Linked DNA regions of Notamacropus eugenii. The protein of the gene in region 2 interacts with the protein of the main gene of each other region in a pairwise test. Links are inferred from orthologs where the notes say so. Each region holds a gene or a part of one and is shown on either strand. Other genes may lie near its edges.

Region 1 (7,335 bases), about 86 Mb from region 2:
GGAATTCGCCGTGAGTTACTTCCCTGTAGCCATTCTATGGGTTGTGGGTTCAGAGCTATGTGTATGTGCGTCTTTCTACTCCGCCATCTTGGCTCCGCCCCCCCAAAACAAATTTAAAAACTCCAACATCAGAGGGAGGAGCATGACATGAAGAATGTAAGGATGATTATAAGAAAGAATTAAAAACCTGTGATATAGCTGCGTGTGTGTGTTTATAAACATAGAAAAAAACAACAATTTATCTGGAGGAATAAAAAGGCAAGAATCTCAAAGGAAGTAATAAAAAAAGTGGGAAGTAAGGGAGATTAGCATTAAACAAAATTACATGCAATTACAAGGAAAAGCTTTTCCTCTTTCCTCAAGATGGAATTAAACTACAAATCTGTAATCATCAAAATTATTTGGTAAAGGTTTAAAAACTAGGAGATACAAAATAGGCACTTAATAAATGTTCACTGATTAGTGGAACAGATTGGGCATACAACATATGGAAGCAAATGAACACAGTACCATAGAGTTTGATAAATCCAAGGACTAGATGCTGGGGAAAGGATTCACTATTTGAAAAGAAGGAAAAAAAAAACCTACTGGAAAAATATGAACTGTTTAGCAAAAATTAGACATTGACCAACATCTTACACCATGTAACCAAGATAAGCTCCTAATGAATATGACTTAGACATAAGCTTAACATTATAAACAAATTGAGAGGAGCAAGGAAGAAATTTCCTGTTGGGTTGGGCCTATGGGAGAGAGAAAGATCATGACCAAGCAAGGGACAAAGATGTCAAAAGAAAAAGTGGACAATTTTGATTATGGAAAATTTAAAAGGTTTTGCACAACAAAACCCGTGCAGATAGGATCAGAAAGAAAACAGTTAAATAAGGACAAATCTTCGCAGGAAATTTCCCTGATACAGGTCTCATATTCAAGATATTTATTCCTAAGAACAGCACCCATCTCCCAATAAATAAATGGTTAAAAGCTATAGACAGTTTTCAAAAGAATAAATCCAAGTTATCAATAATTACATGAATAAAATTCCTGAAATCACTTAATAAAGTAAATTCAAGTTAAAGTAACTTTGAGATCCTATCTCCAACCCTTCGGATTGGCAAAAAAGACAAGAAAGGAAAATGACTATTGTTAGAGAGGCTGTGGGAAAATACGCTTACAAATAAAAGTATTTGTGAAGTTTTAATTTTATCTAGTCATCATGGAAATCAATTTGAGAGAGGGAGAGAGACAGAGAGAAATTATATGTAAGTTTGTCTAGGTTGATAATCACAAGAGAAGAATGACATCTCTGAAAAGGAACTGGCAGAGAGAGTGGGTAAAATTTTTACTTTCTTTTTATATAAATTATATGTTTTCATAGTCAAATAATTTTTTGTAAATACCCATATGACTCACTGGGCACAAAACCCAAGTAAGCTGAAACAGGCATAGTTCCTGTCCTTTAGTACTTTACAATGAAATTAAGCTATAATTATTCTGTAGTCTTAGTTCTGAGCTCCTTTAACATCCCCATTCTTTTGATCTCAACAACTCAGTTAAGTCAGTCAGTAAATATTCACAGGATGCAGGGTACTGGTAGCCTTAGGTGCTTTGGGATATATAACAAAAATTAGATACAGTCCCTACTCTTCAGGAAGCTTACGTGACAAACGTGCGATCAGCCTAAGTGTATATAAATACACTAATTTCAAGAACATCCCAGAGGAGAGTTAAGAATTGTATTGATGACTGAAGACTGCTTGCTGTTACTTTTGGAAAACTTTTGCAGTGATTTAAAGGATAGGAGTGAACTCCTTCCTTAAAGAGGATGGAAATAAATACCCTATTCTGTGCCCTTTGGGCAGTCTTGTTCAAAATGAAGAGATGGAAAAGGAAGACCAAAGTATAAAGGGCAGCAAGAAGGTTAATGTGGTTGGGAAAATGTGGAGGGTAGGTAGGAAAAGAAATGGGGAAGGATTGAATATCAGAACATATAAAAAGGATGGGGTTATTTAACTGGTGAAAGAGACTTGAGAGCCATGACCAGATGTTGTCCCAGGGATCAGAAATTGACACAAGATCCATTTAGAGATGTTACATTGTTGCTGTTGTCAGTTTTCTCAATTATGTCTGACCCATTGGGGGTTTTCTTGGAAAACATACTGGAGTGGTTTGCCATTTTCTTCTCCAGCTCATTTTACAGATGAAGACCTTGAGGCCAACAGGGTTAAATGACTTGTCCAGAGTCCCACAGCTACTAAGTATCTGAAGCCCAATTTGATCTCAGGAAGAAGAGTCTTCTTGACTCAAGCCTGGCTCTTGATGCGCTATGGCACCACCTAGCTGCCCTAGAAGTGTTATAAACTACAAGAAAATCAAGAGCAACTAGGCGATTGGAAAGTGAAGACTTGACAGTATCACGGAAGACAGAAGACGTATAGGACAAGAAAGAACAATTTGCTGACACGTCTAGTGAGGTGAAATTAAATTTTTTTGGTATAGATATAGACTCTGTGTGTGTGTGTCTGTGTGTTAAGTAACAATGAAAAGACATAATAAAAAAGTATTTTAATTGACTCGTCAATTATTTCCTCATGGGACAGATAACTTGAGCTTAAAGAGAAATTCAATTTACTTCAATTCAACACGCCTTCATTGAGGGCCTTCAGTACGTGAGTGCTTAGACAAGAAAACAAAAAGTCCTCAATGAGTTTACATTCTGCTGTCTGAAAACTACAGGTGCCTGGGAAGCATCTGAGGCTTAAGATAACAGAAGAACCAGTCCTTCAAACACACTCAGAACCTTTCAACATCAATAGCCTCTGCTTTCTCACGAGCCTTCCTTACCTGGTTACGGCCTTTGGGATGTCATCAAAGGGCCACTGAGGCCCAAAGAGCCCGCTTCCACTGCCTATTAATGCAGTCATCTTCCCACCTTTCAAGTTAACCTGAGCTCACATTGCACACCTTACTGCAAAGGAGTCTTCAGTTGAAAAGGCATTTCAAAGAAATCTGCTCCCTGATGACCTCCCCCCACCCCGCCTTGTTTACAGCTGGCGTGACAGAGAGGGCAACAACTATGACATCATCACACTCCCAGTAAGCTCTGGATGAAGAGGGAGACAAAGTCCCACTATGACAATGGCATTCGATCTCTTTACGTTTCTCCTTTCTCATTCTTTTTGGGGCCCAAATTATGTTTTGAGAATCCAGTGAGATAAAGCAGTGTGATGTATCTCACTCAAATGTGTTTAATAATGATGTAGTTGTTATCCAAATATATGTTTCATTTCAGTTGGACAGATATTTATTGATTGTATTTCTACTATGTGAAAGTCACTTCCCAAGGAGTCACGGTGGACACAAAGACACATAATGATACGCAAGTCTCTGCCCTTGAGGAATTTATATTCTAAATGTAGGCTGTATAGAAGAAGTATATACAAAAAATCAGTAAAAGGAGTAGAAAACAGAGACTATGAAAGTTCACAGGAGAGATGGGTTACATCTAACTGAGGGAGCCCAAGGAAGAATACCTAGATAAAGTGATATCTGAGCTGGACCTTAAAGGAAAAACGGAATTTCAACTGACAGATTTAAGGGAGAGAGGACATTCTCATCACAAGAAATACTTTGAACAATAGTCACAAGTGCTAGATACATCAGGCTATATTCAAGGGACTATAACCATCCCCAGTTAGTTGGAGTAGAGGACATTTGAATGAGATGAATAGCAAGGTAAGAACAAGAATGTAGGTTGGAGCAGGGTTATGGAGGGTCATGAATTCTAGAATAAGCAGTTTGAAATTTATAGATGGGAATCTATGGGAAACTATAGAAGGTTTTGTGAAAGAGAAATGTGATCAGGTCTATTCGTTAGGAAGATCAGTTTGGCAATGTTATATAAGGTGGATAAGGCAAAGAATATGAAAGTGAGGAGATTAGAATCATAGAACAAAAAAATTTAGAGTTAAAATGAACCTTCATGGACGTCTATTCTAAGCAGTTCCTGGGTAAGAATCTCCTCTAAAATAACCCAAAGTAGTCATGCAGCTTTTGTCTGAAAATTTCCACCAAAGGAGACCCACCACTTCCCAAGGTAGCTTATTCAACTTCTGGACAGATCTAGTTCTTAGGAAATGTTACCTTATATCAAGCTATAAAGTTCACCTACTCATTCTCATACACCAATGATCTCTCCTTTAAAAATGGCTCCCAGACTAAACGTAATATTTTCACTTCCTTCATTTTTACTTTTAATAATGAAGCCCAACATTATGTTAGCTTCATTACTAATCATATCATTGTTTCTATATTTTTTTCCAGCAATATTCATTGTCCAACACATGGTTAGTTTTATATGTGTATGTATATACACATATATGTATATATGCATACACACACATATATGTTTATATACACACATACATAGGAATATGTGTGTTGTATCTATATGTGTATGTATTTGTGTGTTTGTTGTCTCCTGGATAATGCAGTGATACTTTCAGCTGTGCTTACCTTCTAGCATGTTCTTATATGGTGAACAATTTTTGTTCAACTTATCGGCTCATCTCTATCATGCTGTCAGAAAATTTCATTTCGGGGTTTGAAATATTCAGTGAATTTGGAGCTAGAGGGAGCACGTTGATTGCCAAAATTCTTCATTTCAGAACAGGACCAACTGAATATGGAAAATGGTTTTGTAGCAGCAAGTTACAGAATCATGTAATTTTAAAGCTGGAAGAGAGTGACAGTTGACACTGATCTTGGCTGTTGACAGAAATGTCCACTGGAAGCAGGTATTATGTTATTTGGTCACTGAGGAGCATGTACTTGTCCTATTATGGGTTACAAGACCAGAAGGAACATTGGAGATCATTTTAGTCCAAGCTTTTCTTTTTACAATGAGAATATTGGGCTCCAGAGAGAGGAGGTTAATATCCCAGGGTCATGTGGGTAGTATGTGTGGTTGGGATTAAAATCCAAGTGTCCTGACTCTAAATCTAGTTTGGATTCCGCTCTCTTCCACTACTTCTCTTCATTTCTGCAGATAGAGATCATCTTGCTGGGGTACTTGAAATAGTTACAACTTTCATCACAACAGCCTTGTGGAAGGAAACTCTAACTAAAGAGGAAGAAAGAAAGAGAAAAATAGTATGCTTTAGTTTTTATTAGGTGTCATCAGTTCTTTTTTTGGAAGCAGCATCACGAGTCCTTTGAGATTGTGTTGAATCATTGCATTGCTGAAAATAGCTAAGTCATTCATAGATGTTTATTGTATAATATTGCTGTTACTGGGTACAAGGTTCTCCTGGTTCTGCTCACTTCACTTTGCATCAATTCATATAAGTCCTTTCCAGGTTTTTCTGAAATGATCCTAATCATCATTCTTATAACACAATAATATTCCATTACAATTATATACAACAACTTGTTCAGCCATTCCCCATTGATGTTCATGCTCAAGGTGTCATTTTTGACCTCATAAGTATCACCAAGAATTGGTGGAATGAGATCTATAACTGGAATAAAGCTATGGAGGAATATACCTTATCCCAAAGAATCATGATAGCTAAGACGGGGGAGGCAAGAGAAATATTGGATACTAATTTATCACTTAGAGGGTACATTTGCTCACAAGTATTGTCCAGTATATCCTGACTCTAGGTACTTTCATGGAATAGCAACCACTCCATGAGCTATAACTAATGGGACATATTTTGATCAAAGCAAAAGTATTTAATAAAATAACATAATAAGAAAAGAAGGTATGGAATTATCCTCCTCTAAAATTGGAGCACATTCTCCCTCAAATATACTCACCATCAACAGGAAAAATGGACATTTATAGATCTCAGACATGGGAGAGCATACTTGTAAGGGAAAGTATGTGGCTAGGATTTGTATGTGTTCAGTTTAACGCCTGATAATACAAGGCTACTGCTGTTCTCTGGTGATGCCATCATATTGCTCTCTTTTCTTTCTTTTGGGCATCACTTTGTTGGTATCATGAGTGCCACCTGGTTTATAGTCTCTTCTGGGCATTTTCCTCTCTTCCTTCCTTCCTTTCCTTTCCTTTCCTTTCCTTTCCTTTCCTTTCCTATCCTTCCTTCCTTCCTTCCTTCCTTCCTTCCTTCCTTCCTTCCTTCCTTCCTTCCTTCCTTCCTTCCTTCCTTCCTTCCTTCCCTCCTGCCTGCCTGCCTGCCTGCCTTTCTTTTTTTTTTTTTTGCAACTCCTACGCATTATTCCTAGTTTTACCCTAGAGGACAAATAAAAACAAATCTAATGACAGTTCTTCAAATATCTGAAAATAATCGGTGCATTCTGTCTTCTCTTCTCCATATTAAGTACCCTCATTTCATTCAACTTGTCCTTAAAAGAATTGAACTTCCTGATGATTCTTCTCTGGATAAACTTTAGTTTGTCAATGCACTTCCTAAAATATGGCACCTAGAACTGAACACAGTACTCTAGGTGAATTCTAACTAGGGTAAAGCACAGTGAGACTGTCACCTTGCTAGTCCTGTATGCTATGCCACTCTTAATGTAAACTAAAATTCCTTAGGCTTTTTTTGACTAACATATCATACCACTAACTGGTACTGAGCTTGCATTCTACTAAAACCCCCCAGTTCCTTGTAAAATGAACTAATTTCTAGTCATTTCTCCTGTCTTAGTTAATTCTAATTTTAAAATTTAAAACTGATTCTTTGCATCTCAAGTATAGAAATATCTCATTAAATTTTATTGTATTATATTTGGCTTAGCATTCTAAACTGTTGAGCTAATTTTGGATCTTCTATCCATCTCAGTTTTGTGTCATTAAAAAACTTGATATGTGTCTGTGTCTTCATTCCAGTCAATGATGAAAACATTGTCCAACATAAGACCTTGCACAGATTTACATGTCATTTTATCAGATGTCTCCCTCCAAGGTGACATTGAAACATCGATGGTTCCTCTTTCATCCCAACTAATTCAACCAATTCTGTATCTAACTGACTATGATGAACTCTAGCTCATATCTCTATCTTGTCTACAAAGATAGAATGAGAGGCTCTGTAAAATGCTAGCTGAAATCTAGGTAATCTATGTCTACAGATTTCCCTTACTCTATTAGCTTATTAACTTTGTTAAAATCAGACAAGGTGAATCTGGGATGACTCACCATGTTCATTTACCAATGGGCTGACATACTCCTAGAGGAACTGACTCATCAATATTGACAATCTTACTATAAAAGATAGTAAAGTAGATAGGAAGTTGCAGCTAAATGAAAAGACTGTCTTTGGAGAGACACATTAATGCATTTGACAGAGGTGGTTTTCTTTGTATTAC
Region 2 (7,990 bases):
CATTACAACCATATACCACAACTTGTTCAGCCATTCCCCAGTTGATGGGCACCTCCTCAATTTCCAGTTCTTTGCTGCTACAAAAGGAGCTGCTATAAATATTTTTTGTACAAATAGGTCATTTTTTCAGCCTTACTCTTGATACAGGAAAAAACAAATAGATGAAGAATTCCTATTGTCCAGGCTATGATATGCAGCAGGATGGATAGCCTATAGAGTTTTTCTATCAATATATGAATTTCAGGCAGACACAGGAAAAAGATAATAAATTGAGCCCAGAATTGAACAGAAGGAGAGCAGAATGGATTATCTTCAGGAAACTGGAAAGTTCTTTTAATGACCCAAAGTTTTTCCTTGAAACAAAAGCTGCCTTTTAAAACACTAATATCCTGTTGTGTAACTGCAAGTGATGGAACAATAGTGTCCAAAGAAATGATATATGGGTAAGATACGTTATGAGTGTAAGTTGTAACACACTATAATAAAGGAGTTATGATTAATAAATATACAAGATATAACCCCAAAATTGAGTTAGTACATGACAGGCACAAATGATAATTCATTAATAAGTCTATATTGATTAATTGATTGTGTTCTTTTAGTATCTTTGTGATATCAAAAAATAGCTAGGAAGACCCTGTCTGGATCTTCTGGGCAAACTTACTGGCTGAGTAGACGTTCTTAAGTGGCAGCTAGATGGCATAATAGGGCACTGAACCTGAAGTCAGCCACACCTGAGTTCAAATATGACCTCAGACACTAACTTTGTGACCTTGGACAAGTCATTTAGTCTCCATTTGCCTCTGTTTCCTCACCTGTAAGGTGGGAATGATAATAGCACCTACGGTACAGGGTGGTTGTGAGGATCAAATGAAATAATCTCTGTAAAACACCTAGTATAGTGCTTGGCACATAGCAAGTGCTATGTAAATGATTCTTCCTTTCCCCTCCTCTTTCTGCTTAAAGGAAGCTAGATAGTACATTATATGGAATGCTGGTCCTGGAGCCAGAAAGACCTGAGTTCAAATCCAGTCTCAGATACTTACTAGTTGTATGACCATGGACAAAACATTTAACCTTTCAGTTTCCTCAGTGGTAAAATAGAGATAATAATAGAACCAACCTCACAGATTTGTTGTGAAGATCAAGTGAGATAGTATTTATAAAATTAAAAAAAAACTCTTAAGAGAGTGCCTAGCATACAGGAAACACTATATAAATGCTTATTCTCTTTCCCTTCATGTGGTGAATGGGACATATAGGAGAAATGTTAGGAAAGTAAAATTGGTAGTGAGAGGATGAAGAGTCAAGGATGACACCTAGATTTTGAGTCAGGCTGACTAGTAGGATGACAGCAATAGGAAAGTTAGGGAGAGGGCATGGGAGAAGATTATGAGTTCAATTTAAGATGTCCACAGGACATCTAATTCTAGATGTTCAGTAGGCAATTGGAGAAGTTAGACTTGAGGTCAAGAGAGAGATTAGGACTGAACAAACAGATCTGAGCATCTTCACCATGGAGATGAAAACTGAATCCTTAGGAATTGATGAGATTACCAGGTGAAAATGTAGAAATGGAGAATAGCCCTAGGGGTAATCTGCTGTTGGTAGGCATGACCTGGTTGAAGATCAATTATAGTACTTGGCACACAGTAAGCCCTTAATAAATGTTTATTCATTCACTCATCAGTGGGGACTCAAGAGCTATGGTTTTGAATGAGTATTGATCTACAAAGTACCTCAGACCTGGGGTAGTTTTGGGGAGTCCATGATATTTGATTCTCAATGCAACACATGAAGTAGGTATCTCCTCCATTTTCTAGTGAAGAAACCTGAGGCTCAGATAGATGACATGATTAATTAATAGTATAGATGACATGATTTATCAATAGTTATGGAGCTGGTAAATATCAGAGGGGGGAATAAAATCTGCCTCTCCTAATTCTCATTCCTCTTCAGACTGTACTCCAGATTTCTTCTACTATTCTAAAACCTCACCATATCCCAGTTCTTCATCCATGAATCTTCACTGTAGCCTTGGAATTCACATATTGGAAGTACCCTCTACTCCTGTGGCTTCTTCCTCCTCTCATTGGATGGCTCCTCTTAGAACCTCTATTTAAGGAAGGCACTCAGGCCACTGATGTCTCATTCCTCTCTAGGTTTTGCTTAGGACTTTCTCTACTATGCCTCCCTCATGAGGTACCTTTTTCTCCTTCCAGCCCCTTTTCAACTTCCTTTTATGCATTGTCTTCTCTCATCAGAATGTAAGCTCCTTGAGGGTAAACGCTGCCTTTCTTTCTATTTCTATTCTCAGCACTTAGCACCGTGGTTGGCACATAATAAGTATTTAATAAATGGTAGTGGATTGACTGATACCAAGTCTAGTCTTCTCACTACACTAAATTGATTCCCTAGAAAGGCAAATATGTCTTGATAAGATCATTCAGATATTATTTGATGTTGCATTCTACCAGGGTGATGTTTCTGATATTCTTCTCCATCCCTGTAGGGACATATTTGGAAACTCCAGATGTCATATTCTAAATATTGCAGCCAGATGAATCTTTTAAAATCATGCCATGCTTCTGGACCAAAGAGAATGCAACACTTCTTTATATGAATAGAGTGCCATGCACATATCCATGAACACTGATTTTGATCATGATTAATTTCTATCTCTTGCTCAAAAACTTCTTATGGCTAATTGATACCTATAGGACAGGATTCAAGCTCCTAAACCTGGCATTCTGGATGTCACTATCTGAACCTTTCCAACCTTATCTACTAAGAGTCTTCCTTCTTGAACACTGAAATCTAGCTAAACCTTGGTATCTACAGAACTTCTAGTTTACCTTATTGATCCTTGTCTCAGCATGAGGTAGTTAGGCCACTACCATTCTCCAACATGAGTAAAGTGGTACATGGAAGGAAAGGAAGATCAGATACATTCATGCTGTTTATCCCCCCTAAAATGACCTTTCTCTTCCTCTCCATCCAGCTAAATCCTTTCCATTTTTCAGGCTTCAGCTTAAATCCTATCTTCTTTGTGAAGTCTTTCCTATACACAAGTGAACTTTCTTTCCCCTGAATTTTGTATACTTTTTAAATCCATACCACTTATTTGCTGAGACCTAATCACCCATTGCTTCCTTTTATTATTTCTTCCTGTGTCTAAGATCCTATTTTTTTTGACTGCCTTATATTGAACTTGTAAAGGTCGAAAACAGAGATGTCAAAAACATGGCCCATAGTATTCCTGGGTGCAGCTAAGCCAAATTAAAATGTAATTGGAAAATATTTAGCAAAATAAATAAAAATACAACAGACAACAACTAAGTCAATATGTGGTTGAGGAGATTCTTATGTATGGTTTAGTGACTGCCATTTTTTTTTTGAGTTGGACACCATTGCTTTAAAACCTTCAAATCTTTTTATATCGTTACAGCCAATGTTTTCTACTCATTCTTGTTATATTTTCCTTAATTGGAGTCAGCCCATTACTCTATCTTATTGAAACCTTTTTGATTTTTTTTTTGTCTTTTGACATGTTGGTTGTTGCTTTCTTTGACATGTCACCTGCAAATTTTACAAACATGTTATCTATACCTTCCTCCATGTCATTGATTAGAATGTTGAACAGCACAAAGCCAAGGACAGATTCCTTAGGATCTTCATTTGAGATCTCCCTCCAAGGTGGCATAGACATCCCCATCAATACTTTTGGGATCTGGTCAACTAGGTCTGAAATCACCTAACTGCCTTATCACTTGATCCATGTCTTTATGTGCTCCACTGCCTATAAGCGCACTTAAATGTTTGTTGAAGGAACAAATAAACAACCCCTAGGATGAGTATTCTGTTAGCCTAGGAGCTTAAGGAGAGGTCAAAGACATCTGGGGTAGTGACAGACCCACTGCAATGGCATTAGGAAATTGATGAGAATTCAGATGCCTGAATTTTGTTTAGGTTACTTTGATTGTAGGGTTGCTACTACCTATGCTCCCATTTTTTCCATTCTACCTTCTTCTGCCCATCTTGCCATTATCTTGTCACTATTTCCTTTTTCTACCTGGAACAGCACACTCTTTGGAAAAGAGACCAAATGTCCTTTTTAGGTGAGTTAACCCATTCAGCTTTGGAGCTCCATCCTGGGGTTCAGCTCTTGGTTTTCAAGTAACTACATCTAGCAGTCTCAAATTCACCCAAATCAGACATCTTGGAACATTTTGCCATTTCTTTTCCTGGGAATAGTGATCAAATCAGTACTATCAGTGCTTCTAGGAAAAGACAGGGCCATCCATTACTCATCATTCTTTATCTTTTCAAAATTTTTTTATTTATTTCCTTTCATAGTTCCCAATTACATTAAAATTTTTAAACATTCATTTTAAAAAATTTTGAATTCCAAATCCTCTTCTTCCCTTTGGTCCCTCCCTCACCCTCTGAGAAGGCAAGCAATATAGCAATTATACATGTGAAGTCATGCAAAACATATTTCCGTGTTAGCCATACTGCAAAAGAAAATACACACACACACACACAAATTAAGTGAAAAAATCTGCTTCAATCTGCACTCAGAATTCTTCAGTTCTCTCTAAGGAGATGGATAGCATTTTTCATCATGAGTCCTTTGGAAACCACTCTTTATTCTTGTGGCTTCTCAGACAAAAACTTCCTTCTTTGGTTATGACTCTCCTATATGTGTTGCTCCACACTGTTATAAAATAAGCTATTTGAGGACAGAAGCAGTTTTACTTTTGTATTTGAATCACTAGTACCTAAAGATGGGTATTAGGCTCTAGTGAACTACCAAGTAAGGAAGGTGAGGAAAGTCCCTCTACTAATGCAGGTCAACACCTCTTCTGCAATTTACTGTCTTAGGCTCTTTGTGATGCTCTTTGGAGTTTTCTTGGCAAAGACACTGGCCTGATTTGCCATTGCCTCCTCCAGCTGAATTTACAGATGAGGGTAAAAGCAAACAGGGTTATGTGACTTGCCCAAGGTCACACAACTAGTAAGTGTAGGAGGCCAGATTGAACTCAGGAAGATTTCTCCTGACTCCAGGCTGGGCACTCTATCACTGCCCCACCTTCCACTACTCTAACCAGTAGGCTATAGCTGGCACATTGCTGGTCTTAATATCAAGTTGTTGTTGTTTTCATTCAGTTAGTCATTCTTTTCCTCGAAATTTCCTCCCACTCTACTCCACCTCACACGCCTATGTTTTTACCCTTCCCAAAATTTGGAAGCTGGGGGATTCCCTTTTATTTTCCATACCATACTCTTCATATTCTTTCATCCTTAAATTCTATATCCTCGTTCTCTCATCCAAGCTCTTCTCTTCCAAGGTTCAGAGCTGGGATTTAGTAAAAGCAGAAACCAAACTTTCGGCAAGCCTGGGGCCCCCACCACCGAAGTTGGGGAAGCTCAAGGGGGGTGCTGGAGGTGCTTAGAGAGCTCGGAAATCTCACAGAAATCACGGTCCTGGAGAAGGAAGCAGTCTCCTTGCTGACCCCCATCCCCTTCTTCTCACAACTCCTCTCCCAGCTCTCGTTTCATGCCTCTCTGACTGAAGGGCCAGGCCCGGGTGTCCCCAGGGGAGTAGACCGTGCAGACAGCGCCGGAGAAACGGAGGGAGAGAAGAGGAGGAGGAGCCCCGCGTGGCTGGAGCCCCCCCCCTCCCCGCCCCCGGCTTCCCACTCCCCGAGCTCTGGCGGGCGTGGAGAGGAAGCAACGGGGGTAGCAGAGCTCGTAGGGAGGATCGATGCTGGGCAGGGGGCAGCGGGGTGCCCCGGCCGCCTGGGGCGAGCGCCCTGAGCAACTGAGGGGCAGCGGCAGAAGCAACAGCGGGGGTCAGAGCCCTGGTAAGAGACCTCCACAGCCACCCAGGACAGCACTTCGAGCAGGGTCCCTCCAGCTTCTCCCACTCCTCTCCCCTCCCCTGGACGGGCAAGGGTGGGGTGGGGGTCGGGCTGGAGCTTTCACCACGGTTCTTCGGAGAGGGATTCGAGCGGAGCGGGGAACTGAAACCGCCTAGCAGTTTGGGGGCTGGGTGGGTGTGGAGAAGTAACTGACATCCAGGAAGTGGCAAAGGTAACAATGGCAACTTCTACCGCCCCGTTACAGCGGGGAGAAACTGAGGCACAGAGCGTGCGGGGGCCGTGCCTAGAGACAAACAGGGTCACGGCTGGGAGTGCGCGCCTGTCCCTCTGCGGGTGCCCAGCACCGAAGCTCCTTTCCCTAACGAGTACGCGCTTATTTTCTTATTTGGTTTAAGAACCAGAGAAGGAGGGCACTCTGCCTGCGCGCTGGTAGGCGTTTTGTAAGTCAGCGTGGTTTGGGATCGGGGCTGGACCGAGTCCCAGCCTGCAGCGCTCCCAGTCCGCGGGTGGGTGTGTGGCTTTTCGTGTTAACCCGGGAACTGCTTCGCTTTGTTTTCGTTTAGATCAATTGCAGGAAACTGACTGGACAAGAGCCCTTCTCTGTGCATTGACCCCCTCCCTAACTTCCCTGTGTTGGCGGCCGCTGACGTGGGGGCAGGGCACGCTGGACTTAAGAGCACGGTAGTGCTAGGAAGGAGGTGGGAGGTTCCCCAACTTCTGTCGGATCAGCAAGAGCAGTTCTTAACCATGCTTCGATTTCTGGGGCCCCATCCCTACCGACTAGTCATGACGTGAGGCTCGGGAAATGAGGAGAATGGAAGAGGGAAGGTTAGAAAGGAGGTGATGAGAAGATTGAGAGAATGTAGTCCCGCTACCGACCCCAGACCCGGGCAACGTAAACAGTTTCATGGGGTGCCACATCTGATTTAACAGCACTACATACCGCTTACCAAGGTTCGCTGCAGGGGTCCCCGACAGGTGGTAAGAATAAACTCTTAGCGGCAGTGCTGATACTAGATTCATTAAAGGTAGACTATTCTGAAGAATTCAATTAACTCAATTCATTTCCTTCTGAAAGTGTCTGCAAAGGAATTCAAAAGTTTCATATGATGCTAAAGTGGGTTATGGTTATACTACCCTACAACAAACCCTCCGTCTTGACTCAGAGTTTTCTCTGGCTTTTCTACAGGCCTGGAATGCCCCCACTCCTCACCTCTGGCTTCCCTGGTTTCTTTTGAGTCCCACCTTGTGCAAGAAGCCTTTTCCAATTCTCCCCAAACTTAGGGAATTTCTACTGAGACTATTCCCAATTTATCCTATATTTATATATATTTTTTCATATGTATATATATATCTATCTCATGTTTGCACACTGTTTTATGCATGTTGTCTCACCCATCAGATTGTGAGTTTCTTGAGAGCAGGGACTGATTTTTGCCTTTCTTTTTATCCCCAGAGCTTAGTACAATGCCTGGCACATAAAAGAGCTTAATAAATGCTAGTTGACTGACATTCGAAAAAATAAATAGTGCAAGGCCAGTTCAATTTATTGAAAAGCCTAGATGATGGAATGTTGGAAATAACAATCATTTTAAGGTTCACAAAGCACTTTACATACATTTTCTCATTTGATCCTCACAACAATCCTGTGGGATTATTATTCTCATTTTATTGATGAGGACCTTGAGATTCAGAGAAGTTTGCTGACTTGGTAGGATTTCAATTCAGAACAGCTCACTTGTCCAGTTATTCCTCTAAACTAAGAGATGCTTGAATATTAGGCATCTAAAGCAACTGAGGAACCCAGTCTTAGTGATTAATATAGATTCTTCAAAGAAAAGAAACTGCAACATATCACAGAATGCTCTAAAAACCTAGCACTTAGTAAATATTTTAGAAACCGATAGGGCAGAAAGGCATTACAGATATGACTGTGCTTGTCACAGAGAGGAAATGACAGTTCCTGGTTTGGTTTGGAGAAGCAACTCAATAAAAATATTTAGAAATGAAAGGAGCAAGTTAATTGTAATCTTACAAGTTGTTTTTCCCCCAGTATGCTTGAAATGATCTTGTTGACTCTTTTTGTTTGAAAAATAGATGAAATT
Region 3 (6,943 bases), on a different chromosome or scaffold from region 2:
ACATAGTGAAGGGTTCAAATTTTTATCCAGGTTATGTGAGAGAGAAAAGAATATGAAAATAGGCTTCTGATTTACTCCCTGTATTGGTAATTAATTACGTAGTATTTGATAGAAAAATGGAACTAGTCAATATAACCCCATTATCAGAAATCAGATTCAAATGCAACAGCCCCAATTCTACTCTCATATTTGTCTAATCAAACTTTCCAAGTGAATATTAGTCTCTGATTTTAAGAAAGTATTTCATTTAAATTGCATGTAATTTAAATTTTCCCATTTGCTAACTGGAGATTTCCTGGGATTAACACAATAATATTCACTGTGACGGTTTGAAGTTTGGAGGTCTTTTGTAACATAATTACCATTTATAGACAAAAAAAGTGTTTAGCATTTGAGGACTGTTTAAGTGTAGAGAATTACAAATCACCTGGCAAATAAAAATCCTTCCTATCATCTCAAACAGTAGAGAATCTCTAAAGAAATTAATTGTCCATCAGGAATTTTCATTTTAATAGTCTCTTTAATTAGAAATTTTAGTTTAATATTGTTCTTAGAAAACTAAATATTACTTCACACTTAACATTAAATCTGGACCTGAAATTAAAATTTAAATATCAACGTTGTTTCTTCATTCAGTAAATGTTTATTGAGAGCCTACTATGTGCCAGGCACTTGAAGGCTACTTAGTAAGTCTGTTACTCTTTCTTAAATGGAATTTGCCAAAAGCCAAGAAAGGTGATACCCCAATTATAAAAACCCCATTGAAATAATTACTTTAAGACACCACTTAGGACATTGGGAATACTATAATAATATACATGTGGCACATATGTGTGTATCTAAAGAGATACACATTATAAGATATGAATATCTGTAGATAGAGCAAATATAGCATGCCAAAATAACGTGTAAGTTGCTCGGTTTAAAGTTATTTTACCCAAACTGGCATAAATAAATGTGTTCTTATCAAGTCTCTAGATAAAAGGTCTGGATTCTTGAAGACCAAATAGGTAGAAAAACAAAACAAAACCCCCCCGAAACCCCTTTCTAATTAAGGAACCACGTTGTGGTAGGAATTGTCTGTAAGTATAGCCTGTTATGTAAAGCAGAACTGGCTTTTCCTAACTGAAGTTTTCTAACTTCAGTAATGTGAAGCAAGACTAAGTAAGGTTATGTGGCTACATGAACTCTATTATTGATTATGTCTAGAAATAATTGCTGGATCTGAGCCAGTATACCATTTAAAACACCATTTGCAGAGGTCAAAACATGACTTAAGAAAATACATTGTAAAAAGTGACCATGTGGCTTATTCTCTCTTAGTTTTATACACATATTTGATTAAAATGTATTTTGATTAGGGTTGTTACAGTGTCTACCAACAAGATATTCAAGAGTGATTTATTTTAAAGGGATAAACGTGAACAATATTAACCTCTTTCTATAGTAATTATTTTCTAAATATTTCCTTCTGAGTATACATTTTTAAAAAGTAATATAAAATGTAGGCCCATACACAAGGAAATCAACAAAACAGTTAAGAAATAAAACAAAGAAAAAATTTTAAGACCTACTTCCCATAGAAAAAACATTGTTCATATTTTTCATTATGCTTAGGTCACAGGTCAAATCATAAAATATTTTCCTTGAGCTTCTTATGGTGTTCATCAGATGATTAGCTCACAGGAATAGCTGAGCTATCAGTGATGTAACTGCTGTTACATCAAGAGGAATATTAGGGAATCTAGGCTTTAGTCTTACTCAGCAAGTACTAGATGTATTTTTCAACATATTTTGAGAAGGTTGGACAGATTAGAAGAGAAGATATCTAGCAAAAATGTACCACTGTGTTAAGAAATTTCAAATTTTATTTTCATTAAATTAATCAAGGAATTCTATTTTGATTATTTTCATCACTCTCACTTTTTTTTTGCACAAAAAGATTTTAAAAATCCCTCCCAGACAAAAACAGCGCAATTGATCTTTAAACATTTTTAGAACTAAAGTATAATGTTCAATTATTTAGAAGTACAAGAACTACTATAGTGTGCAACATTTTATAAATTGTTTTGAATTGCATAAAGGAAAAATGTTAGTGTATGAATTGTATCATGAAGATTTTTAATATTCTTCCTATTTACTTTTTAGAAAACTTAAGTAACATGCTTCTGATATGTAACTTGTAAGAAAAAGTTTTATATATGGCTAACAAGTTCATATTCATGTAGATTCACTAGATTTTCTTCTGATTATCACAATTCTAATTATACATGGAGGTATTAAATTACTTTCAGAGATGATTTTTCTCTATGAAAAATTGACTTTCCATATCAATGCTTAAAGAAAGTATATTATTGACAAAAGTTCATTTTCAGATTTTGTTGCTTGTTTCCTTTTTTTGAGGTAATGTATTCTTATTTTGTTTTTATTTCAAAGGTTTCCTCCAAATGATTGTTTTATGCATCTATCAAGAGGTTTCCTAAATTTTGCTACCAAATATTACAGATTACTACTGTAAGGTAGTGATCATGGAATCCTTTTGTTCATATAAATTAATTCCATCAAAAGAACTAAGCTGCAATCCATTAAAAATAAAACAAATGTATTATTAAATAATTTAGTGCATTAAGACTTGACTGCATTTTTGAAGAAGGGAAGTTTCACATTGATCTTAACTCAGAAATACTGCACATTAGGAGTCTGAGCAGCAATTGGGTATTGAACTGGTATTCCATTGTATTACTATAGGGATAAAGTATACAGTTAAATGGAATATATGAAGCAATGTGATTTTACCTGAATTCAGTTTTCAGTTTTATACATACCAATGAATTTAGCACATAGCTATGATATGTTCAGAGTATCATTTATGACTCTCCCAAAAGGAAGCGGCCACATTGTACATATAAACATTCATATACTGCAATAAAATTTTCTAAATTTATTAATGTTTCTAAGGAGAAAACATTTTCTTTAGAGCATCTGGTCAATTTCAATTTTCTTCTTATAGTCTATTAGATTTTAGTGAGTTTCTATGCTCTTTTTTTTAAACCATATTGTTACACATGTGTATGTATGAGCATTATAATTCTATTGTGAATTTCTAATGAATTAGTGAAATTGTTTCCATTCTTCTCTGGGTTACAAAAATATTTGGATTGCTTTTGAAATTAAAGATGTTTCTTTTGTGAAGAGAGGAATAGGTAGAAGTAGGGCTTCTTCATCTTTTTTACTTCAAATTACATTTTTTCCTAATCATTGCTATTTCCATTCTGTCATTCTGCCATGAATACCAACTCTGCACCTGCGATTTGCAAGTTACTAAACCCAAACTGCAAACTTGCTTTGCACCCATGCCTGCTGTTTTAAATAAACAGTATCAACGGATACATTCTAATTTCAGGGGAAAATTATGTGACTGGCTGACTTAGGGAGAAGGAAAGTATATGAAACTAGTCTCTTTATGACACTGATCTCATTTCCAATCGAATGCTGTGCTCCCACGGAGTGAATTTCACAGCTTGGAAGTGCTGCGTCCTGTTATGCTAATTACACAACCTAGGTCCATTTCATTTTTGTTTATATGCACGTAACAAGACAGCTCCCTCCCTTCAGTCTACTTAAATAATACCAAAATTCCAGGGTGCACTTGGAGTCAAACATGCACTCCGGTACGTCTTGGGGCTCAGGCCATGAAGCCAGGGCTGGGCCAGGCGTTCTCCCCAGCCCCTCCATGTGCAACAGTAACACATGGCTTTGGCCTTCGAGATGAAGACGTAGGAGCGTTCGTTTGTCACCGCAGCCGGCGCGTCTGCGTCGCCGGGCTGGCTAGCCCTTCTCTCCACGTGGTCTGCTAACTTTGCGCGGTTCCCTAAGGGGACCGAGGCGGCTCGAGGGGCTGCAGCAGGGCGGAGAAGCTGGCAGAACCCCGGGCGAGGAGCCGCGCGTCCTTCCTGAGGAAGGCCCGGGCTCTCCACTGAGCGAGTGCTCCGGGAGGGCTGCGTCAGGTAGACCGAAGGAGGGCGAGGCCACGGAGGTCACTTTCACCCACATTTCGCCGACATCAGCCGCTGCCCTCATCTCTCCCGCAACGGCCGCATGGGCGAGCTTGCAGGCCGAGAAAGCGGGAGGCTGACCCGACGCCCCTTTCGTGCGCGTGCGCGTGCACGGCGCGGCGCGCTCCTGCCGAGGCTCTCCGTGATCCCGGCTCCCTCCCATCCCCCTCTCCCGCTTCACCCTCAGGGATAGGAATGGGGGAAGGGAAGAAGAACCCTGGGAGGGGAGGGAAGAAGGAAGCCGCGGCGTCGTGCCGGGGGCGCGCACGTCCTGCTTCCCCACCCCCTCCCCTTTCCTCTTCCTCCTGGGGGCTGAGGCGGGCGCGCACGCCGGATGACGCTAAGGAGGAAGCGAGCTCCCTCTCTCCCCTCCCAGGCTCCCCGCTGCCCCGCGGGAGCCCCCCAGTGCGCCTGTGCGGAGGCCTAGTTGCTATGTGTGTCCTCTCCAGGTTCCTGTGTTAGCATCCCGGGTGGAGGTGGGGAGGGGAGAGAAGGAGAGGAGGAGGAGAAGGAGGAGGCGAGGAGGGGGTGGGGAGGGGGGAGGGGGGTAGGGAGTCAGCACGGACATGGCTCCTGACTCCAGTGCAGAACGTGAGTGACTGAGCAGCGAAGCCCGAGTGAGCGAACGAGGAGCGGCGGGCGGGCGTGCGGGCTCGGGCCGGGGGAGGCCGGGGGGCGGCGGGAGGGGAGGGCGGCGGGGAGGCTCGAGGGGAGGCGGGGGTCCTCGTGAGCTCCCTGCCCCCTCAATGGTCTTTCTCCCCTCCCCCGCAGATGGTCTCTAGCGACCGGCCCGTGTCACTGGAGGACGAGGGCTCCCATAGTATGAAGGAGATGATTGGAGGCTGCTGCGTTTGCTCAGACGAGAGAGGCTGGGCCGAGAACCCGCTGGTTTACTGCGACGGGCACGGCTGCAGCGTCGCCGTGCACCAAGGTAAACACCCCGCCAACCGCCCGCCCGCCGGGCCTCCCCCAACCGCCGCCCCGCGCCCCGCCCGCGGCCCCCCCCGCGGCGCGCCCCGGCCCGGGGGCGGGGGAGCGGTGCGTGTGGCCGCGCCGGCAGGGGGCGGGGAGCCCCTCGGGCTGCGGGCGCCCCGCGGCCGGGCAGGGGCGGGGGGCGGGGGCCCTCCGCGCGCCCCTCCTCTCGGGCGCTCTTCCCGCCCCTCTGCCTCTGGCTGGCTGGCTGGCAGGAGCTCGGCAGACTTCCCGGGCTGCTGGCGAGCGGGGGTGGCCGGGCCGCCGGAGGTTCCCGGGGAAGCAGGCTGCGGCGGCGCCCGCGGCGCGGCCGGGGCCGCTCGGGCTCGGGGCGCGGCGCGCTGCGGGCGGCCCCCCGCGCGGAGCTCCGACTGGTGACCGGCTCGGGGCGACTGTGAGTCGGGGGGTCCCGCGGCGGGGGGCGCACGTGGGGAGGCTGTCATCCGCGGGGCTTTGCGGGGTGAAGAAGTCGGGCAGAACCGGCGCGCCTCCGCGGCCCCCCGGAGCGCCTGGCGCTGCCGGGTCCTGGGAAGCCTCGGGCAGGCGGAGCCCGGAGCTGGGAGACGGGCGGAGGGCGGAGGGCGGAGCGGGCGCGCCGGCCGGCGGAGCCGGGGGGCCGTGCCGGGGGCCGTGGGGGGCGAGGGTGACGTGGCCGCTGGAAGGCATCGCGCAGGCCTGCTTCCCGAGCCCGGGCGCGGGTCTCTAACCCTCCGCTGGACTAGCTGGGGAGACGTGGCTGACGCTCTCCGGGTCCGTGTGGCGAGCCGGCCGGCCGGACCGTCATGCCCTGTAACTTAGTGCTGACATTCCCCCGGGATCCGGACGCCCAGAGCGGCGCTGTGGGTAGAGCGGGGCAGCGCTCGCGGCGTGGAGGCCAGCGGTCCTGGTTCTCGGGTGGCCGGTCGGTGTCGTCCAGCGTCCGCGAGGTCCGCGAGCGTGTGAGGCTAGGCGGAGGGCAGAGCTGGGGGCCTGGAGCTGTAGCACGAGGGCATGACGTGTGGGCACAAACGTTGGTAGAAAAGACTTGTCAGGCGCTAGCCACCGGGAAGCCGTTCCTTTGGGGTGTGCAGTACGATCTGCCTTCCCCAGCTGCAGTTTGGGGGCTGAGGTGAGGGCTTAGAGGGGACTGCACACCTGCTGGGTTCTTTGTACTCTTTTTCTGATCTCCTAATACTGCCTATAGCTTTGAATCTGAGATTTATGGTCAGGTTTGTTAGTAATTTCGTTAAAATCCTGTAGTTGAAATTTCAAGTCAGGTTATGACTAAACTAGTTTAAATATGTACATATGCATTTAGAAATAACGATAGAACGATAGTATTTCAGAGCACTATCTGTTTTCAGGCGGTTAGAGGCATTGGAGCCAACCTTGTGTTTCCATTTACATATTTAAAGTTAGGATTAAATAATATTTTAGCATGACACTAATTTTTTCCTTTTGTCATGTCAGCTCAGTTTTAAAAGGTGTTTTGAAAATCTTCATTTAATTAAAGTGTAATGTGCAGTGCTTGCTGTGACTTAAGTTTATGCCAGAATGAGAGGATGAAGTTCTGAATTTTTGTTCCACGGAAAAATCTCATGAATTGTGTTAACTTTGACCTCTTGGTCTTTCCTTTGCAACGAGCTATTTAACAGGAGTGACTTGTTTGGCACTGATTAAAAAGCAATGTTATGTTTAAAATTTTAAGTAAAAACATACTTTGTTTTTCTTGTTAACTGGAAAATTTCAAATCACCATTTGTGTATTCTGTTGAGTAAAGGAGAAAAAATTTTGAAAGGATTTTGATTTTCTATGACTTTTGAGATTTATATGTATGTGTGTGTGTGTGTTAAAAACCATTTTATTTTTATTCTAACAGCTTGCTATGGCATTGTTCAAGTACCCACTGGACCTTGGTTTTGCAGGAAATGTGAGTC
Region 4 (7,336 bases), on a different chromosome or scaffold from region 2:
AGGACAGTTTCTTCCGCATTCTGAAAGGATTTCTCCCCAAAACCTCCATCTGAGGAAGTGTTCACACCAGCCACGCTCTCAAGCAGCCTCAGACTCTCTGGACAACTTCTCCACCTTGTACAGAAACTCCATTTCCCCCCTGTTGGCATTTTCCCTCAATTTCCCATATGCATGGGATGCTCTCCCTCCTCATCTCTACCTCTTTGTTTCCCTGGCTTTCTTAAGTACCAGCTAACTGGAAACTGCAGGGATACCTACCAACTGGGAACTGGCTGAACAAGTTGTGGTTTATGATTGTGATGGACTATTACTGTGCTACAAGAAAGAAGGAGCTCAATGATCTTAGAAAAACATGGAAAGACTTGCATAAAATAATGGAAAGTGAAAGGAGTAGAACCAAGAGGATATTGTCTATAGGAAAAGCAACATTGTTTTAAGAACAGCTTTAAGTGAATAAGTCATCTTGACTGTGATAAATATCCAAATTAGCGCTAGAGGATACATGAAGAAAGATACTATCTACATCCAGAGAAAGAACTGATAAATAAAAGTATGTATAGAAAAATTTTACATATATGTATATGTATATATACATATATACCTATTTGTGTCTAATGGTAGCCATCCTTAGGGCAAAGAGGGAGGGAGGGAAGGAAAAGAAGAAAAAAGAAATTTACCTAACTTTATTCTAAATTTAAAAGGAACAACAAGCCATGCATAACAGAGCTGCAGTTTCATGGGCAATCATCTTTTTATTATGCTGTGTTACATAAATGCTTTTTATTCCATAAATTAAAAAGTGTGAAAAAGTAAAAGCCCCGCTTTTCCGCTCCCCCATCTTTCATTCATCCTATATGGAGCTTATTTCCACATAGCAGTTGGCATCCCATCATGAGCAGGGGCTGTCTTGTCTTTCTTCGAATTCCCAGCACTTAGCAAGGCGCCTGGCATGCAGCAGGTGATTAACTTTCTGACTGTTTCGGCTTGTGTTTGCCTTCCCAGCGTAGTCCCTAGCACATCAATAATGGGCTTCATAAGTGATTTTGCTAATCCAGTGTAATTATTAGGGGACTGGTTAGAGGAAAGAAGCCTTTTGGCCTTTGGATGGCTAGGGGAGGAATACAAGCAGTTTTAATAAATAGACAATAAAATCCTATTGTTCTAGGACAGGGTTCCCCACCCCTGTTCTATGATGTTGATCCCCAAACTGTATTCTATCATGCAGGATGTTTAACATATAACTTTAATAGCTTAAAAGTGTACTAAGATTTTGGGACACCAAGTATTATGAGCTTTTCCTTGTTCAAAACTCGTTACTTCAAATTGTTTTGGGATAGAGATTCTCTATACAGCCTGTTTGTACGTTTGTTGTCTGTCCCATTAGACTAAGCTTTCTGTGGGTAGGCATTGTCTTTGACTTCTTTGTATCCTCAGCTCTTAGTGTAGTGCCTGATATTTAGAAGGAGGGTCATAAATACCAATTGATCAAAAACCTCAAAATGGATCGGATCAAATGTTAAAGAAATGCTATTACTAACCATCTACAATTCAAGGAACCCAAAGTCCTGTATTCATTTCATTACCACAGAGGAATTAAATTCAAAAGAAGCTTGCATTAAGCTCCTGTTGTCTACACTTTGCTGGGCTGAGAGAAATAACAAGTTTAAAAAATCCCTGCCCCAGTGGAGTGTATTGTAAAATCTTACTAAGGAGCTTATTTCCTTCCATGGAGGCTTATCCTTCTTTCACTAACCACCTTCCCCTCCAGACCTCACAAGCACTGTACTTACTATACAATATTCTACATATCATAAATGAGCAATGGTTCCACCAGTACTCTGGAACCTCCCAAACACTGAGCTAGCTCTGGTAATGTGTGCTTTTGCTCCTTGTGCTAATTTTGGCCTAACAACCAACACCAAGAAAACACAAGTACTCCATCAGCCAGCACCATACCACCCATAGGTGGAATCATCGGCTACAGCAAATGGAGTTTTGAATGATGTGGATAAATAAGTTTGATTACCTTGTCAATATACTTTCTAGGGATGTACACATTGACACTGAAGTTGACACACCCATTGCCAGAGCTAGCTCAGAGTTCGAAAGGCTGTATTACCAAGCACCCTAGCATATCCAGAATGACCTGCTAGCACAGGTTCTTTGATATGCTTTATACAGGAAAGACAGCTTTAACAATCTTTCTTTAATTAAGCATATATGTCATTCACTAGTTCAGGGGAAAGGTTAGCACCCTGAATGTGGAGAAAATACAGAGTAAGTATAAGCAGAGAATTAGCACAAAGATTCAACAGACACAGTTCTCTCTGTCTGAACAAAGTAAGACAACCACCTACATACACCACCAGATGGGTGAACACAAACCTTTGAGTAGTCCATGGGTTCTTAACAAACAGCTACTCAGTCCCGTCCAAAGAATCCAAAGGTCCTTCTATAAACTAACCCCCCCCCCCCACAAAAATACCAACCTCCCAGTTTATATAGTTTTCAACTAATAAGCTCAGAGCCAGCAGGCATCACAACCCATGTAACTCAGCACAGCTGTGAACTAGAGGGGTTCAAAGGAGATTGAGCATTCAGATGTTCTCAATTTAGCCTGAGCCTAGGAAACTGAACTCCAAAAAGAAAACAACAAAAATCCTACTTTGCTTGCTCTTACAGGGGCTCCAAAGGAAAGTGTGAGAGAGGAGAAGTATTCATTGTAGATCAGACTGAAGGTCTACAGAGCCATTATACCAGTGCCATGCCAGGAAACTGAATTGCTTCGATTTGAATTGTCTTAGGTTCTGAAGATCACCTCGGTGGGATAAGGTACCAGACACCAAGGTCCTTTTTCAAACTAAACTACCAAAGATTCAAATGTACCGCAGAGAGCACAACTATGATGGACTGACCACGTTGTTCAAATGCCAAAATTCTATTTTACAGAGAACTCACACAGGGCAAGCTCTTACACGGAGGTCAGAAGGACGCTCTCAAGATGTCTCTGAAGAACTTTGGAATTGCTTATATGACTACGAGATGCTGACACAGGACCACCCAGCATGGTGTGCCCTCATCAGAGGTTCTAGGCACTTTGAGCAAAGCAGAATTGAAGCAGCCCAAAAGAAACTGGAGATGCAAACTCAAGAACCCAGTCCAAATGTTCCTATGTGTGTCCCACCTGCGCTAGGGCATTCGGAGCTCATATGAGTCTGATCAGACACATTTGGATACATTGTAACCTGACTAAGGTTACAACCAAACAGCTTTGATTTACATAGTGTATAGCATAGCACCTCCCCTGGCCCCGTAGAGTGCTCTGCATACAGCTGGCATTCCATAAACGTCTGTTTCAGAATAATACCGAGCACCCAAGGAAAGCCCCTAAAACAGACACACGTGTAAAAAGTAGCCATAAAGACCAAGAGAATGCACAGAGAAGAAAATTATGAAGTCTGAAAAGAACCCCTAAAAAATGATCACTTTCCAATTTTCTCTCAAGAAGTCAAGAAGCATTTATGAAGAGCCTACGAGGTGCTAAGCCCTGAGGATACAAAGGTCAGAGACAGTCAATCTTCCCACACCTTCCTCCTCCATCCAGAGACCAGACAAGACCCAGCATTTTCTCTGGCCGGCCCCACTTCCTCCAGGACGCCCCCCTGGGGAGCGTCTGCCGTTCGTGCTCAGTCATACCCCACTCCTTGCGACCTCATTTGGGGTTTTCCTGAGAGATTCTGCAGGGGTTGGCCATTTTCTTCTCCAGCTCATTGGACAGCTGGGAAACTGAGGCAAGCAGGGTGAAGCGACTCGCCCAGGGTCACGCAGCTAATCGTCTGAAGCGGAACTGGAACTCAGGTCCTCCCGACTCCAGGAGGGCGCTATGCCCTGGGCCCGCCGGCGGCGCCCGGATTCACCTCCCACCGCTGGGGCTAAGCACGTGTGGGACCGTGGGCAAGTCACTTAACTTCGCTGGCCCTGAGCTTCTGCATCTGTAAAGTGAGACTGCGGCGGCTACGCGGCCTGTCGGGTCCGGGTAGCTCTAAGTCTGCCATAATGCGCCTCAGCTTCCTGCCCTCCCGCCCTACCAAGACGCAGCACCACCCCCATCAGTTCTGCGCCTGCGCAAGGAAATGCCCCAGCTCCGGCCCCGCCCCCTGGGGAGGCCGGCGGAAATGGCCTCGAGAGAGGCTCTGGCCGGGGACGCGAAGCTCCATCCTTTCCTGCGCCCCGCCGGGCCCGCCAGGCGCCGAGTCTGGCCGAGCTCGAGGCTTCGCAGGGCCTCGCGGCGCCGCCGGAAGTGACGCCAGGCCGAGGGGTGGGCCCGCGCGTCCCGTCGGGCCTTGCGGCGGCGGGATGATGGCGGCGGCGGGAGCGTTAGAGAAGAGTTTCGTGGAGCTGTGCGGCGCCGAGCGGGAGACACAGCGGCGCTTCCGGGACTTCACCGTCTGCGGCTCCGGTACTGGGCGAGCCCCGGGACCCCGGCCCTCTCCGTGCCTCAGTGTCCCCGTGCGTGCCGGGGGGCTTGGGCCCAGGCACCGGAGCGGGCCGCGCTGTGACAGCCCGGGCTGTGAGAGGCCTGGACCGGCTGTGCTGAGGCCCCGCGCCGCTGGGGGGCCGCGTTCTAGGCCCCCCCCCCCCCCCGCGCCCCTCAGGGGCCGCGTTCTAAGGCCCCCCCCCCCGCGCTCCTCAGGGGCTGCGTTCTAAGGCCCCCCCCACCCCTCAGGGGCCGCGTTCTAGGCCCCCCCCACCCCTCAGGGGCCGCGTTCTAAGGCCCCCCCCCCCGCGCCCCTCAGGGGCCGCGTTCTAGGCCCCCCCCCCGCGCCGCTGGGGGGCCGCGTTCTAAGGCCCCCCCGCGCCCCTCAGGGGCCGCGTTCTAAGGCCCCCCCCCCCCCCGCGCTCCTCAGGGGCTGCGTTCTAAGGCCCCCCCCACCCCTCAGGGGCCGCGTTCTAAGGCCCCCCCCCCCCGCGCTCCTCAGGGGCTGCGTTCTAAGGCCCCCCCCCACCCCTCAGGGGCCGCGTTCTAGGCCCCCCCCCCCCCCGCCCCTCAGGGGCTGCGTTCTAAGGGCCCCCCCCCCCCCCCCCCCCCCCCGCTCCTCAGGGGCCGCGTTTTAGGGCCCCCCTGCCCCTCACCTTCTATGTTCTAAGGCCCTCCAGCCCCTAGGGGCCAGTGCTCCAGTCCTCTCCCACCCCTCAGGGGCTGCGTTCTAAATCTCCAGCTCCTTCAGTCCACGTTCTAAAGTTTCCCCTACCGTGACATTCGATATTCCAAGAAACCTTCCAGCTCTAACATTCTGCGTTCTGAAGCCCTCTCCAGCTCTGATGTTCTAGGCTCTAAAGTCGCCTGACATTCAGTGCTTCAGAGTCCCTTCCAGCTCTAACATTCTGCGTTCCGAAGCCCTCTCCAGCTCTGATGTTCTAGGCTCTAAAGTCGCCTGACATTCAGTGCTTCAGAGTCCCTTCCAGCTCTAACATTCTGCGTTCTGAAGCCCTCTCCAGCTCTGATGTTCTAGGCTCTAAAGTCGCCTGACATTCAGTGCTTCAGAGTCCCTTCCAGCTCTAACATTCTGCGTTCTGAAGCCCTCTCCAGCTCTGATGTTCTAGGCTCTAAAGTCGCCTGACATTCAGTGCTTCAGAGTCCCTTCCAGCTCTAACATTCTGCGTTCTGAAGCCCTCTCCAGCTCTGATGTTCTAGGCTCTAAAGTCGCCTGACATTCAGTGCTTCAGAGTCCCTTCCAGCTCTAACATTCTGCGTTCTGAAGCCCTCTCCAGCTCTGATGTTCTAGGCTCTAAAGTCGCCTGACATTCAGTGCTTCAGAGTCCCTTCAGCTCTAACATTCTGCGTTCTGAAGCCCTCTCCAGCTCTGATGTTCTAGGCTCTAAAGTCGCCTGACATTCAGTGCTTCAGAGTCCCTTCCAGCTCTAACATTCTGCGTTCTGAAGCCCTCTCCAGCTCTGATGTTCTAGGCTCTAAAGTCGCCTGACATTCAGTGCTTCAGAGTCCCTTCCAGCTCTAACATTCTGCGTTCCAAAGCCCTCTCCAGCTCTGATGTTCTAGGCTCTAAGGTCACCTGACACTCAGTGCTTCAGAGTCCCTTCCAGCTCTGACATGTGCTGAACTGCCCCGATGTTCCCTTTGCAGAACTCGTGGGTTTGTCCGGAGCTGTGAAGTATGTGGAGAGCGCGGGCGGCTTCTACTACTTGGAAAGCAGCAAGTTGTTCTCCGTCACCAGAAACAGGTTCATTCATTGGTGAGTGTTACAGAAGGAAGGAGGTCTGGGCCATGTACTCTAGTATGAGGGGATGATCGTACCTAAGGGAATAATGGTTTGTGAGAATAGGAAGAGACTTTAAAAAAATCTGATTTCTAGGTTATATGGAGAACAAATGTAACAACAAGAAATTCTGGATTTTGGTCCCATTATTTAACATCTCTGGAACTCAGTTTCCACATCTGTAAAATGAGGGTGTTGGACTATATAATCTCTAATGAATGACCTTTCTCACCATAAAGTTATGGTCCCAGGCAGTAGGAAATAAAAATGACCGACATTAAATATGTTGTACTCTACAGTAACATAGAACATGGTGATAGGTTCTGGGGAAAATATCCATAGTTAAGATATTAATCTTTCCTCACAAAGTTTACAGTCTAATATAGGTCTGTTTGCAGTCCATCAAAAGATTTCAGGCAGCCCTCGAAAAATGTAGAATTGTCACTGCACACTCTCCTGTTTGTCGTATGACTCGCAGCAACCAACCATCATGGATCTGTCTCTAGTATGAACCTATCTGTGACTAGAAGAAGTTGAGCCTATTTTAATTTTGGCCCCTACCTACTGCCAAGTTGTGCAGTCTGGTCTAGTAGGAACCTAAGAAAGACACCTTAGAATACAGTCTTCCATGGTAGGTGCATTAGCTCTGCTCTGAGAAGTTCCAAGTGAGATGTGAAGGTGACAATCATTCTGTACCAGGTCTTGATCAGGGAAGACTTCCTCAAGGAAGTCATCAGGTGGAGCTGTAAGGGGTGGGCGGAAATGCAGCAGATAAAGGAGAGGAAAAACATAGCAATTTGGGGAATAGCCTATAAAGCCATTAAGGTATGAAAACTTGTGCTTGGAGATAGAATAAAAATTAAAAGTCTGGCTGGGGAAGGGGATGGGTATTATAGGAAACTGGAAAGTCTGTGGAGGGCCTTGAATGTCGGGCAGCAAACTTTGAACTATGAAGCCATGAAAGATTTGTGAGCAGGTCTATTGTATAGGTCAGCTTTTAGATGCAGAGGAAAGGTGGCCTGAGTGGAGCCCTGGGAAACCCATGAGCATACTTTAGTTCT

The links.
Region 1: the proteins of DISC1 (region 2) and KIFAP3 interact in a two-hybrid assay, tested with the Homo sapiens proteins (2 studies listed by BioGRID and IntAct). The link is inferred for Notamacropus eugenii from reciprocal best matches to the Homo sapiens genes DISC1 and KIFAP3.
Region 3: the proteins of DISC1 (region 2) and MLLT10 interact in a two-hybrid assay, tested with the Homo sapiens proteins (2 studies listed by BioGRID and IntAct). The link is inferred for Notamacropus eugenii from reciprocal best matches to the Homo sapiens genes DISC1 and MLLT10.
Region 4: the proteins of DISC1 (region 2) and NUP160 interact in binary tests that used the Homo sapiens proteins (3 or more experiments, as listed by UniProt). The link is inferred for Notamacropus eugenii from reciprocal best matches to the Homo sapiens genes DISC1 and NUP160.

The regions. Positions count from the first base shown.
Region 1 is NC_092873.1:476,273,347-476,280,681, reverse strand, and holds the start of KIFAP3 (kinesin-associated protein 3), read right to left. Parts: upstream 3,010-7,335; 5' UTR 2,925-3,009; coding exon 2,845-2,924; intron 1-2,844. UniProt on the Homo sapiens protein: Involved in tethering the chromosomes to the spindle pole and in chromosome movement. Binds to the tail domain of the KIF3A/KIF3B heterodimer to form a heterotrimeric KIF3 complex and may regulate the membrane binding of this complex.
Region 2 is NC_092873.1:390,008,399-390,016,388, forward strand, and holds the start of DISC1 (disrupted in schizophrenia 1 protein), read left to right. Parts: upstream 1-4,970; 5' UTR 4,971-5,767; coding exon 5,768-5,867; intron 5,868-7,990. UniProt on the Homo sapiens protein: Involved in the regulation of multiple aspects of embryonic and adult neurogenesis. Required for neural progenitor proliferation in the ventrical/subventrical zone during embryonic brain development and in the adult dentate gyrus of the hippocampus.
Region 3 is NC_092874.1:62,279,066-62,286,008, forward strand, and holds the start of MLLT10 (protein AF-10), read left to right. Parts: upstream 1-3,926; 5' UTR 3,927-4,007; intron 4,008-4,350; exon of another isoform or gene 4,351-4,672; intron 4,673-4,826; coding exon 4,827-4,986; intron 4,987-5,345; exon of another isoform or gene 5,346-5,421; intron 5,422-5,547; exon of another isoform or gene 5,548-6,135; intron 6,136-6,885; coding exon 6,886-6,943. UniProt on the Homo sapiens protein: Probably involved in transcriptional regulation. In vitro or as fusion protein with KMT2A/MLL1 has transactivation activity. Binds to cruciform DNA.
Region 4 is NC_092877.1:3,199,608-3,206,943, forward strand, and holds the start of NUP160 (nuclear pore complex protein Nup160), read left to right. Parts: upstream 1-4,321; 5' UTR 4,322-4,356; coding exon 4,357-4,459; intron 4,460-6,142; coding exon 6,143-6,251; intron 6,252-7,336. UniProt on the Homo sapiens protein: Functions as a component of the nuclear pore complex (NPC). Involved in poly(A)+ RNA transport.